Linked DNA regions of Lepisosteus oculatus. The protein of the gene in region 2 interacts with the protein of the main gene of each other region in a pairwise test. Links are inferred from orthologs where the notes say so. Each region holds a gene or a part of one and is shown on either strand. Other genes may lie near its edges.

The links.
Region 1: the proteins of pumilio homolog 2 (region 2) and dazl interact in a two-hybrid assay, tested with the Homo sapiens proteins (2 studies listed by BioGRID and IntAct). The link is inferred for Lepisosteus oculatus from reciprocal best matches to the Homo sapiens genes PUM2 and DAZL.

Annotation. Positions count from the first base shown.
Region 1 is NC_090705.1:29,099,024-29,105,934, forward strand, and holds the start of dazl (deleted in azoospermia-like), read right to left. Parts: upstream 3,021-6,911; 5' UTR 2,899-3,020; coding exon 2,839-2,898; intron 1,879-2,838; coding exon 1,744-1,878; intron 1,672-1,743; coding exon 1,580-1,671; intron 1,374-1,579; coding exon 1,322-1,373; intron 1-1,321. UniProt on the Homo sapiens protein: RNA-binding protein, which is essential for gametogenesis in both males and females. Plays a central role during spermatogenesis.
Region 2 is NC_090697.1:25,729,635-25,736,961, reverse strand, and holds the start of pumilio homolog 2, read right to left. Parts: upstream 3,007-7,327; 5' UTR 2,743-3,006; intron 2,578-2,742; exon of another isoform or gene 2,355-2,577; intron 1-2,354. Other genes in the region: b(0,+)-type amino acid transporter 1, read left to right, coding at 5,967-6,707. UniProt on the Homo sapiens protein: Sequence-specific RNA-binding protein that acts as a post-transcriptional repressor by binding the 3'-UTR of mRNA targets.

The DNA of each region.
Region 1 (6,911 bases), on a different chromosome or scaffold from region 2:
TTTGACTTTGCAGATATTGTACATTGCTATGGCTAGCTTTACCAATTTTTAAATCTTTTAAAAGATAACATCTTACTTTTTATCTCCATTGATGCACACATTTAGCACTATTTCAATAACATTCGAGATGCTATCTGGACTAATCATGGAAAAACGCTCAACTACAATAAGAAATGTAACAAATGTGAACAGCACCATGCTACAAAAACTCAGTGCTACAAACAAATTGCTCCAAGTTTACATTGCTTGGAATACAAAAGTAATCTATGAAATTCACCAAAGCTTTTTATATTAAAATCATATAACAGTTGAGATATTGGGTTAAGAAAACTTGCAAATCCAGCCATTCATAGCAAAACCAAGTCACAAGTACAAAAAAAAATACTGTAAGACACTCCCCAACTTACATCAGGGGATTCCACAAACTTTACATGCATTTGAAATTATGTATGTCAGGACATTCTTACGCAGTCCAGCAAAACAAATATACACTTTTTACATCATTAGAAAATCTTGCAACCTTGATTAACCTGTTACAGCTGAAATTATTCCAGAGAATGTACTCTTGAGAGAAATTATGCACACAAGGCACCAAGGAACAAAACTGAGGATGCAGACTGCAAGAGCAAGATAGCTGCCTTTTCTCCATACACAAGTAGTTATGTTGCTAGACACTAATGTAAATTTTCACACTAAGAATTACTCCATGGAAACTTTACATAAAGCCAGATTTACACAAATCTGGCAGTCTCTAAAACACAACCACTGAAAGCACTTTACAGCAAATTCATACAGACATCTATAATACTTCTACGACCGCATACAGAACATTGTATACAATATTGGATAACATTGCACAACATTATTGATTCTCTGCTCAGTGCAGAGAGCAACCAGACAATACATTCCTGGGCTTAAAACATTAACAGTTTAAAAACGACGACAAGCTAAAAACTGGGTTGAATATGGAACAGAGAAGACTAAGAAGAGACCCAATTCAATTTTATCGATATCCCTTAAGGCACTGATGAAGTCAAACCTTTCGACTTCACATTCACAAACTAATTCAGCAAAACGCAAACCAGAAGACAACGGTTTCCACATGGAAGTGCATTTAAAAACGGAGAACAGATCAAAGGATGAAGAAAGAGGAATACTTGACAGATTATCAGTCTTATTAAAAGGTACCTTCATGGGCCCAGGCATACATTAGCATGCATGCAAAAGATGGATGCAGCTAACAGCTATAACTTTGACTATGCGAATACTGAAATACTGTGAACGGCATCTATGAGACGGGCAAGCTTCCAGACGTTCTTACTTCAACAATGGTCTGAATGTCCACATCCTCATTGAATGATACAAAGCCATACCTATGGGGTGGAGGAAATAATCATGTTACATGCATTAAAGCTACTTCTTTCATAAAACACCTAAATGCAATGAAATAGTGTATTCTGTCAACTAGTAAACGTACATTGGCACTAACTGGCAATATTTAAGAACACTGATGAGAATCTATGAAGGCGCAGTACTCTATCTTTAAATAAAAAACAGGCAGCTTAACTTACAAACTCACCCCTTACAAATGCCCCCGCGATAAGTGATTATCTTTACTTCCTTCACGGCACCGTATCTTGCAAAGAAGTCCCTTATTTCATTTTCATCCACCTGCAACACAAAGCGTTTTTAAGCCTAACTGTTCAAGCTAATTTTACGTCCAATGTTTTTCTTTGTACTCACCTTCATATCAATTCCTCCAACAAAAAGTGTATTCGGCGTTATCTTCCCTTCGGGCAAAACGTATCCGTTTGCCATTTTCAGCGAAGGGGAAGTGTAAGATGCGTTTATCGCTGTGTTGGGTTTCTCCTTGTCAGACTGAAAAATGAGCAAATATAGTAGATCACCATACTTCGGCCATGACTAACGGGGTTTAAGTATTTCATTAATAACTTTATTCAATATACTTTGGTTATAGTCCACAGCTACTGAAAAAGTTAAATCGCCATCATAGCCGACCGTGCGGCTCCACTTCCAACACCTGCTTCACCATTTCTCTGATCTCCAAACCTGAAGGAGAGAAACCCATATTCGACCGATTCCTAACATGACCATACACACTCGTGTGTATTTCGCAGTTATATTCAATTTCCGTTAACCTTTTAAGATCTGTAATAAACGCACATACTGGACACTTCCAAACTTGTGGACTGGAAGAGGAAAATCGAGGAAGGCTCGTTTCCCCAGCAAGTGATTCTCGATTTTCATCGTACGGTCTAGTCTAATTTTAATCCATCATATACTTATCGTAGGGGATAAGATACAGATTATTGAAATAAACTTTAATTGATGCATAATTTCTGGGTTTAGCTAGGAACTATTGGCACCTTTCCTCGAAAAAACGCGAATTACACGTGGAACCTCACCCGTAAAAAAACTCCACACCAAAACCACTATTTTAATCTGATCGTCGGGGATCATGATCATACTTCCTATAACTTCCTTTTGAAAAACAACCTATTTACAGTATGATAAAATATAAAACCAAGCATTGCCATAAAAACAGTATGAAGCACGGTTTCATTGATTTATGTCAGATTCCTCGTAACTCGTGAGCATGGCAAGTTGCCAACGGATATGTAAAACGTTTCTTTTACGATACAGAACGCAAAGAAATGAAGATAAACTGTTAAGCGAAATACACAACCGACTATAGTGGTTATTTATTGATATTAATCAATACAATAAAAAAACTCGTTCCCGCTCTCCTCTACGAGCCATTAGCACTTTGGCCCCACCTATGAGGAGATAGTGTTGGCGATACGGAATGCTACTTACCATTTCTATAAATAAAATAATTAAAACTGTACAATAAATTAATCGCTTTTCCCAAGGCATAAACCTTTATATTGCCCCCCCAAACAAGAAAATTTGCCCCCAAGCACTGTCCATAGGCAAACAATTCCAACGCTGCCGCTATCCACTACTAAATAAACTTAGTTTAATTGGGACAATCCAAAAATGAACTGTGGGTAGACACGGGAGTGCATTTCAATTACAAAACTCCTTAATTAGCTCATCTATACTTTATTTATACACATTACTTGATCACATTAATTAATAGAAAATCAGGCTTTCATTTTTTTATGTTCATTACAACCTAAGAATGTACTCATATACCATAATGTATCTATTACCCCCCCTCGCCCTTCATGGGATTACTTAATTTACCAGAAGCCTTCCCTAACGGCGCGCTCTTCCTAGCTTGATTCGTCACTTGTATGGAAATCGTCGAAACTGCCTTGGGAAGATTTATTTCGAAATTCAATTGTGAAACCGATTACAGTGTATGATTAAACGTTTTATATTGGCCGGTCGAATGAATTAAGGAATTATTGTAAAGCGTAAGACCAGGAAAGCATTGTGAGACCAACAAACTGTATTTGCGGTGCCGGTTCCCCATCCCTCCGTTTTCTAACCGTTCTGTCCATTTTCGGGTAACTAGTCCGTTATAGAGCATACAGACACACACTCAAACGAGGCCCGGTTTTCAGAGAAGCCACATTAACCTACCGTTATGTTTTTGGACAGTGTGAGGAAACCGGAGCTTCCAGGGAAACCCAGGCAAACATTGGAAGAGTGTACAAACTCCACGCAGCTAACATCAGGTCTAGGACTGACATCAGGAAGCAATTCTTTTGCACAAAATGTTGTGAGGGACTAACAAACTGTCAGATGCGGTTTTTTTTTTTAAGATTGTTCTCTGGGACCCTTAAGAAAGGGCTACATAATGTACATTGCACTATCAGAAAGCTACTTATTCCCAATAAGCGCAGTAGCAACAGAATAATGTAGGTTGCATGGTAAAACTACATCAGTCCACTGCAGGGTGCACATGTGTGCATACAAATACATCATTTACTGTATAGACACCAGCTGGATTTGACCTTGGATCAATTAAGCTACCATAAACCAAATAAACAAGGTGGACTAGTTGGCCTCCTCTCATTTGTTATCTTCATTATCTTCCTGCATTCTTACTGTAATACAAAAAGTGAATAAAATATAATGGGAAGAAAAAGTTGTGTGATTACTGCCTACTTTTTATATAGGATATTTATGTATTTGTCAGTACAGTAGTATACAACCAAAAATGTTAGTTTACAAAAAATATTGTAACGCTTCAGGGTTCACATGGGTGCCCTCACCACCACAAGCAATGGAGGCCGTAGGCGTTACACTGGTGTCAGAAGCAGGGTGGGATAGCCCTTCGCCGAGGACGGCGAGTTAAGCGGGGGAGAGTGTAACGCATAAAGCCTCCATTGGTTGTGAGAGCCGGCTTACCAGTGCGGTGACGTCACTGCCTTTCCCTGTGAATAGCAGGGACTGCAGCTACCAGGCTGATGGGAGATTTCCCTTTGGCTCAAGTGGCTGGGTCCCTCTTGAGTGATGCCGGAGGCCTGGGTTCGAGTCCCCGATGGTGGGGGGGCTGACCTGAGGCGGCAAGGGTGAGGGTGCCCATGTGAACCCTGTAGCGTTACAATATTGTTGTGGATTGCCGCACTGACATGTACTGTATTAGCTTCTTTTGCATCTAAACTATTTTATTAATTAAAATTAATAAAATAGAGGATTACTAGCAGCTACTGTATATAACCCTGCAACTCACAACTGGCAACCCATTGCTGCTAAGCAGGTGTGAGCCTGGTCAGTACCTGGATAGGAGACCTCCTGGGAAAGCTTAGGTTACAGCTAGAAGAGGTGTTAGTGGGGGCAATAGGTGCTTGGTGCTTACCATGCAGTCTGTGCGGGTCCTAATGCCCCCAATATAGTAACAGGGACACTACACTGTAAAAAAGCACTGTCCTTTGGATGAGATATCACACTGAGGTCATTTCTTGAAAAGAGTAGGGGTGTTACCAAATTTCTGTTGGCCTTTACCAATCAGTGGCTGGAACTAGATCCCCATCTATGAATTGGCTTTATTGCTGTTTTCCTCCCCACTGGTAGCTGATGTGTGGTGAAGTGTACTGATGCAGTATGGCTGTCATCGCATCATCCAGGTGGGGGCTGAACCTTGGTGGTGGTGGTGAAGGGGAGTCCCCATTACCTGTAAAGGGCTTTGAGTGGTGTGTCCAGAAAAATGCTATGTAAGAGTAAGGAATTATTGTTATATTTGTAAGATATTATTTTATTAATTAAACCAGAATGGAAAGTAATGTCTTATGCTACATTATAAACAGAATACCCCCCCCCCCCCCCCAATGTAATGGCACATAGTTATCATACATCCCCCCAGACATGCCCAGGAGAATAATATTCAAAATACTTTGTAAATATACTGGAAATTTAGCTCTATTGTGACTGACTGCTTTATTGTGACTGACCAGGTGAATTAATAAATGCTTTAACTTCATTGAGCTTTAAACTCTGAGGTAAGATGGCAAAACCAAATTACCATGCAAAAATATTTAAATATAGATTTGCTTGTGAACTGTTAAGCCACACATATTTAAAGGTTGAGTTTAAATATTGCATGACCACTCTTTTATACCACTAGATGGCAACCCCACCTTTTGACACAAAATTAGAATTGTTGACTATACTGTACCTGTATCACCGGCCGGCAGAACTTAACCGTTATATCACAAATTTCATAAGGCCTCTAAAATATGACCTTCGATCTATGGCAAGCGATTTGCTAAATGAAACAATTTAAAGATAATTAGGAACAAGAGTTCAAGGACAAGAGTTCCCTTAATTGAACACTCCAGAAACGGTTGGAGATCTCCACTGTACTGTAATTCCTTTGAGACATCACTGCAGGGTTTTGGGTAATTATGTTGAGCAATTCATATGTTTGCCTAGTCTTTAGTAGGAGCTGGTATAAAATAAAAGACAGTATTTCAGAGTGCTTAATTTAAATGTGTAATGCTTGAGTAGCTCTCTTTGCAATAGAATACAACAGTAATATACGTCTTTGTATTTAAAATTGTATTTTTTTAAACCAATCAAATTTTACAAATGAGCTATTTCGTAACCTATTACAAATGAACTATTACAGCAAAGGTCATACAGAACTCTGTTTTTTTTTAAGTTATACTACACATTGTTAGCATGCTTCACGTCTTTGCAGATTATAATGACTTAATTAAATGCATTAACAAAGATCTTCACTACAGAAGATTAATTTTAGGACAAATACAATAATAATTTTCCTACCCATACATCTATTTTCTAACTGCTTTATCCAATACAGGGTCATGGCGGAGCCAGAGTCTATCCCTGCAAGCAATGGGCACAAGGTGGGTTACATACTGGAAGGGATGCCAGTCTATTGTAGGGTACACTTAGACACTCACACCAGGGCCAATTCTCATAGAAGCCAATTAACCTTCCAGTATGTATTTGGACTGTGGGAAGAACCTGGAGAACCCAGCAAAAACCCACGTGTACATGTGGAGAACATGCAAACTCCACCGAGATAGCACATCAGTTCCAGAATTGAAACCCAGGGCCCTAGCAGTGTTACCTACTGTACCGTGCCACCATGCCACCCTTTATGAAAGACCTTCAGTATATACAGATGCAGCCATTCATAAAAAGAAGAGGAGCGTCTAAAGGTCATAAGCGATATAAATTTAGGAACATAATCATATTATGTAAACTGTATATGGCTGGTATTGGTAGTTTAAAAAAAATACACACCAGTATTCCCCTTCCTTCCTAAACATTTTAACCATCAAAGTCTTTCATTCGGTTACATACTGTGGATATTTTGGAATAGTTTTTACGTGCTCCTTCTGACTATATTAAGATTATATACTTTGTAAAATGTTATAATGTTTAACATTTTCTATGTATATTTGCACTTGTTATCGCAGTAACAAAGCACATACACACATTTGATC
Region 2 (7,327 bases):
GATCATAAAACTATGAAATTGTGACTCTAACAAAATAGAAAATCATATCTGACAAGAAAAAAATAGAAAATTGCAATCTTCCAAACTCTTGTTTTATTTTGATAAAAATATAGGCCTACAGTTACTTTACCCTCAAGAAAAAAATTTCAATTTATTATATGCTGTGCACATAGACAGGAGAAAGAGTTAAGGTGCTGTGCACACCATCTTCAGAGTAACACAGCTCAAGAATACAGCGGATTGGGCAATTTAAACACACCTTCTCTAGTTTAAATGTTTAACCATTCAAAGATCAAGAACAAAGTAACAGATAAATCAGAAATTAACAAATAAGCAAAAAGCATGGCTGGTAAACAAATATTAAAGTTTTATGATGGACTTCTCAATAGCTTTTTAATGTGGTGTGTATATATACATGCATCAACAGGAGGACTATTTGTTCATTTTAATGAAAAAGCTATATAATATCCCAAAGAACATAATCATTTGTGGCAAAACATCCACTTTGAAACATGAACATTTGTTTTATCATACGATGGTTTATGGATAATATATTGTTAAATAATTATGTTTATTTTATTTACTATTTGCATTTCCAGGCACCTTGGGCTTTGTGTTTCTAAACAAAAAAAAAGATAGTTTTTTTTTAGCATTTCCAAACTTCTTTAAAGAGTAAGCAGCACTCTTTTCTCTCTCGAGATGCTTAAGAGTCCCTTCAGTACAAACACCACACAAAAACTACAAGGACTTTCACTATCTGTTGGGCATAACCTCTGTCATCCTAGAGCTGTCAGCCTGTTGTATATAACTCAATCAGTAAAGATGGAAAAAAACAAGAAGGATTATAAAAAAACTAAACTAACCTGAGAACCGATTCTTTAAATTTATGATCTGACATGCTCTTGCCTTTGGTAGAATATTTAATGCACTTAGACTATGTGTACTGTAACTGAATCCACTGCATGTGAATCACAACACTGTTGCAATGCACTTCAGTTAAAAATGGCATGCAGTGTCACATAACTAGACTTCCAATTTAATTTAGATATTTCAGTTTCGCTGTTTAACAACGTGACTTCCACATTTACACACTTGATACATCACTGCAAAATGTCTAAAAACACTGCTCAGTGATTACCAAATAATATATCCTTCAATGACATCCATCAGGCACTCGAATGTGCCCTGCCTTGTGTAATACACGGAGAAAAACTGAATACCATCACATAAAGTGAGATGCTTTTTTCATAAAATAGCACTGACTATTCTTTTTTTTAACTGCCCATCCCCCCACTCCTTCTACAACAGTGCCTCAAAACCATGACCTTTTCAGCCTGCTGAGTAGACGGGCTGTATTTGCCACAGTTCCATCACTGTGAGGTTGGTCATAAAAAAAGTAACATCTTTGAAACAGTAAAATACATATTTTATACATGGCAGGTTAGCAAGTTTGCACTGTAAACAGCAACAACTTTTCAGACAAATGTGAAAGAACAGTCTTTAACACCCTTGCTGCATATGGTTTAGGCCAATAATAACATGTAGCCCACAAAGACATTTATATGCACACGGATTTATATTAGCAATGAATACAATCTAGAACAGCCAACATCATTAGCTTTATGTTTCAAAATCTGATCTGTGTTCCTAATGGTAGTATTGTCCTACATGTATCAGTGGTATTATTAACCGGTCGCCTGCAGAAGCTGTATTAACAGAACCACCACTGTCTGCGAGAAGCTTTTGAGAAGACAAAGCATAAACAAGGAATGAGGCCTAGTTACCGTAAAGACAGGCTAAGTGTAAGACAGCCAGGATCATTTAACTACATCGAGAAAAAAGAAAGCAAGAGCTATTAAAATTAACTCTTCGCACACACGTCTGTATTATCACACGGGTCTTTACACCTATGGGGAAGCACAAAATATAAAAGTCTTTATGCATAGGGATATTTTTAGTTGCACGGAAAGAAAATGACCCAGTTGTTGGTAAACAAGTGAACTTCTTGGAAATAGAGACCGGGAAAGAAGCCAAGCAGAACCGAACCTCTCCTGTACCAGGACAGTTTTACTCCAGCTCACGACGGTGAAGTGAGTTCAAATTGTTTTCAAACAATAAATAACACAGGATGGCACATAAAAGGAAATCCATCACTACCAAAGTAGACAAAAAGAAAACTCTCGAGGTGTCAGCACTATGACTTCAAAAACATTATTTTATGTTTACTTAAAAGTGGAGATCCAAAAAATAATATCCTCGTAAACATAAACACGCGCTGGTAAACGTCTAACGAAAGCATAAAGCATAATAAAAAGCATCAAGAGCAGTATTTACAAACAGCTGAGGCCTCTTACCTTCAATATTATTTAAAAGGAAAGCAGGACAAAAGCACCCAAAAAGCATTTACAGAATAATACAGCTGCCCACCGTCCCCAGTATGTCGCTTAAGAAAGCTATAAACCAAAACAGAAGCTTCCAGCTTCTTTTAAAACAATCCGCGGAAAAGCTCGAACAGAAACACAAACTCGGCGAGAAGACCTGCGCCAGCCATTGCTGCTGGGTTACTACACTAACATGGCCCCCCTCCTTGCTCTAAACAGAGAGCCTTACCCGCTAAACAAAAGGAAATATCATAATAATAATAAAACATGTTCTAAACACTCGGTCCCTGGCAATAATCCCGGAATGGAGTCCCTCAAGGTGTGCATTTGATCCAAACCTGGGGATGGACGGGATACTCACAGGCCGTGCTGCTGGATGGCGATGGATTATTATTATATACAGACTTTGTTTTGTTTTTTGGTGGATGTCGGTGTTTTAATGGTTTTGGTTTGTACGTGGTACGTTCAGTGGAAGTGTCGCCCTCTCCCCCCTCCCCTCTCGAACTGAGCTTGGGCTAGAGGAGCACCGACAACATGGCGACAGAGGCAGAGGGAGGAGCTGCAGCGGCTCCGCCACAGACCTGCGCGATGGGAGCCGCTACAGCACGGCGGCACAAGCCGGGGGGGTTACCGAGTTTCGGGTTTGTTTCGTTTTTAGCATTATTTAGAGATTTGCGCCCCACGTAGGAGAACATTCGTTTAGGTACGTTCTCATCACCCTTGCTGTCTCTAGAGAAACTGCGGCTTATCGCTAGTTAACAGCATCAAGGAAGCAGACATTTGGCAATATAAATAGAATTCAGGAAATCACGTGGTTGTCTGTCTTGTCGCACTTATTTGAGGTCAGCAAAATCCAGGTTTATTAACGGTTTACGTAGAGATGGAGGGAAATCATTTTTCTAACGTAATTTGAAACAGTGTAAATTGCTTAATTGATGAAAAATGGTATTTTGTAAGGTTTAAGTTTATGTAGTATTATTTAAACTGGTTTATATAGACATATTTACATTTTTTTAATATTTACAAATTTGTTTGACTTCAGGAGATGCTATTAATGAGACAGTTTAAACCCTGCTCCTGATGTTAACCTTTTGACATCCCATTTTTTCTGTGTTTAGTGATATTTAGTCCCGCAGCGTGGAGTACTGATTGGGCATCTGAACTTCTGTTCTAGTAAAACTGTAAATGTAAATTATTCAGATGTAAGCTTGTGTGTTAAAACAATTGACAGTATATTTAAGTTTGTTAAATTAACTTCTAGAGAAAGGATTATGTTCTTATGTAGTAAGGTAATACTAGAAGAAGAGCTGAAAGTTAAACCCTAGTATCATATTTGTATTTTTAGATAACTTTTTATATTACTGATGTGTGTACCTCTCTGACAAGATGTTTACTTATTTTAATTACTGGGCAAAACTAGCGTGTCTGACCTTCGCCTTTATCTCTTTACAATGTGTGTATAATTACATCCACGTTGTGTATCTGGAGAAAGAAATGCAAGTTTGTTATACAAAATATCATTTAAGACCTTCATAACGAATGTTGTTATCTGCAACATGGAATTTAACACTGACCACATAAACACTGTGTAAAGAGTTCCCTCCACACGCAGTGATGTCTGTGTGTCAGGAGAGGGGAGCAGCGCTGCTGCGTTGCTCTGGTATCACAGCCCTGGGTGTGTGGCTGCTGAGGAGACTTGTGCTGTTGAGGGGTCAGGGGTTGGATGGAAATTTCTGGACTCAGTCCAGTGAGGGCAAAGGGGCTCCACTCCTGCTGGTGTGAAAGCCCCTCTCCTTGAAGCCTCTCAGCTCCCCAATGGGGAATAAAAAGGAGAACCCCGCCTGGGTTTAGGGATTCAGAGGGAATCTAGGTGAGCGAAATACGTGCCCTGTATTACAGTTCTTTTTTTCTTCTTCTGTTGCAAGCTCCAGTAGAGCACATCGTCTTTCACTTTGTTCTCAGAAATAAAGTGTGCTTTCTTTGGATCGTGAGTGGCAGTGCTTGTCATCCATGCTTTATATTTTTTACAACCAAAGAAGGCTCCACAGCCAAAATGTTTTGTTACTTTTCTTCTCTTTTCAGCATGGAATAAACCTTTTGTTGTTCCTTTGCAGCCTAAGCATTCTGACACAGCTACCTACTTGAACTATTTTTTTGCATTTTTTTTTACAAATGCAACAAAACACTTAAATGTTAATGCACACATGTAACAAACATTTTTTGAGCCAGACATAAAAAAAAAGACTGGTCTAAATCAAATAGCTACATCTGGCACAGACTCAACACAGCACATCATCCAGTCAGTAACATACCTACTGGTGGTCTCAGCATTACGTTATGCTGCAGCTTGTCATTCCTCATTTCTGACTGAGGAATCTTAAAGAGACGTGTATTTATTCTTAAATTATGTTAACCACTATTAATGCACTCATAGAAAGGTCACTCAACTAAATGTTAAATTAATTGTTGAGGTAATTTTGTACAAGTACAGTAAATACATTTCACCACTTAATCTCTTTATTTGTTTGTTTTTTTGGTCTTTGTGTTTACTTACAGATCAGGTTTTGTATATAATAAATGTTCATTGCTACTTCAAAGTGCCATGACTGCAAACTTGAAACCAACAGAATGTGAAAAGTGTTCAAGGGTCTGAATATTTTTTAAGGCTCTATACATTGTTGAAGAGAGTTCCCTAGCTCCTTTAAATAAATGTCTAAATGAAATCTTCATAGCAGTTACCTACTAAAAACCAGATGAGCTAGATGGACCAAAATGCTTCCTCCTGTTTTTAGCAGGCGTTACAAATACAGGTTAAGTAGGTGGTTGTTGAATAAGTCACAGAAGCTGTTCAGAGATGGAGTTGGGTTTGCTAGCAGCTGGTTCTATCAGAGTGGGGCAGGATAACACAATAATGGAGAGTTAAAACAAATGATAACATCAGCTGGGCAGCAGAGGTGGGAAAAAAAAGGCAGACAAGGGTATCAGTAGACACAGAGAATTATATGTGCAAGGGAGGCTTGTAATGCAAGCAGATGTAGGTTGGAACAGGGACCTTGAATTGAATTATAGCATAAACAGATAAGAGTGTGACATAAGTATGTATGCTATGTCTAGCCCATGAATGTAGTCAATTATTAAGTGGCAGATTTTGGAAGGTTCTTCACTAACCACAATCATCTTGCAATTTTGTGTGTACTTCTTTGTTATTCCATTAGCAAGCAGAAGGACTGATGCAGGAATAAATCAAAACACCTCAACCTCTGTTCAGTGTAACTTAATTCTGGGTTATTAGTTCACTTTAAAAAAATTCCTTTACCACAAAATTACTGTTGAAAATAATCCCTTCTGCAAGGTCACCTCTGGAATACATTATCATCATTTTTATTTTTAGTACCATATTTTTAGTACACTTTGCACAAGTGGAGTTCAACCCATTTTCTAACCCTGGGAATGTAATTATTAACTGAATAAATTGCTGTAAGTGTGACTTTGTCCCATCATGACAGAGCAGCATTGCTCTCTAATTCATTTTCTTCAAAACAGAGATCTCTCTCAGCTGGATTGAAACGGTCAAGATTTTGAAAAATGAGCAGGAAAAATTCTGTTATATCTTACACATCTTCAGGGATCAATGACAAGGTGCAGACATTCAGCCTGAAACGGGAGGTTGGTTTGGTCAGTGCCGTGTCCCTGATAGCGGGCACGATGATCGGATCAGGAATTTTCATGTCCCCCCAGTGGGTGCTGTACAATATCGGAAGTCCAGGAGGAAGCTTGGTGATCTGGGCAGCGTGTGGTGTCCTGGCTATGCTGGGGTCTCTCTGCTATGCAGAGCTGGGAACTGTCATTCGGGAATCGGGAGGGGAGTACATCTATATTCTCCGGACGTCAGGGCCTCTGCCAGCCTTCCTTCTCGCTTTTACCTCCATGTTTGTAGTGAGGCCAGCCAGCATTACAGGAATATCCCTGAGCTTTGCAGAGTACGCTGTGGCCCCCTTTTATCAGGGCTGCTACCCACCTCAGCTGGTGGTCAAGAGTGTGGCTGCTGCCTGTATACTGACACTAGCAATTGTGAACTGCCTCAATGTTCGGTTCTCAATGTCCATCCAAGTCATCTTCACAGTGGCCAAGGTGCTGGCCCTGTTGGTGATCGTGATCGGAGGAGTGCTGCTGCTCTTTAGAGGACACACAGACAGCTTCCACAAGGCATTTGAAGGCACAATAGTTGGCATAAACAACATAGGAGTGGCCTTTTATCAAGGTCTGTGGTCCTATGATGGGTGGAACAATTTGAATTATGCAACTGAGGAACTGAAACGCCCCGAGGTGAGCACATTTACACTTCGTGTTTGTAAAAAAAGTAAGATTCTGCCTAAAATCACATAACTCTGTTGACTTATGTGTATGTGAATATAATGTTCTTTTGGTATCATTAGTATTTTGTGAGAGTACTTATTACCATCACTCAATTCTCCAAAGTTAAAGCCTTTTTTAAACATTTAATTTATACGTTTGGAAAGGTGCTTCATTTATAAAGTAACTTTCCAAACCCAAAGACACTGTACATAGTGATAAGGAGAAAAACAAGATAAGAAAAGAAAAGTTCAATAAAAAAAATTAACAAAAACATACAGGTTCATACAGCTGGAATGTAGATAAATCAGACATAGGCCCTAATAAAGAGATGAGTCTTGGGTTTAAATTTGAAGAAAGTCAGAGAATTTGTCTCTCCCAGAGTCTGAGGAAGGGCATTCCATAACTATGGCGCTGCAACAGATGAGGCACGTTTTTTTGAAAGTCTGAGATTTATTCCTAGATACATTGAGCAAAGCACCAGGCTCAACTGACCAGAGCCTTCAAAAGGGATTGGAAACATAAAGTAGTTCAGAGATGTGTAATGGGGCTGGCCAGACTCTTTTAAAGCATTAAAAGTCAGTATAGGGATC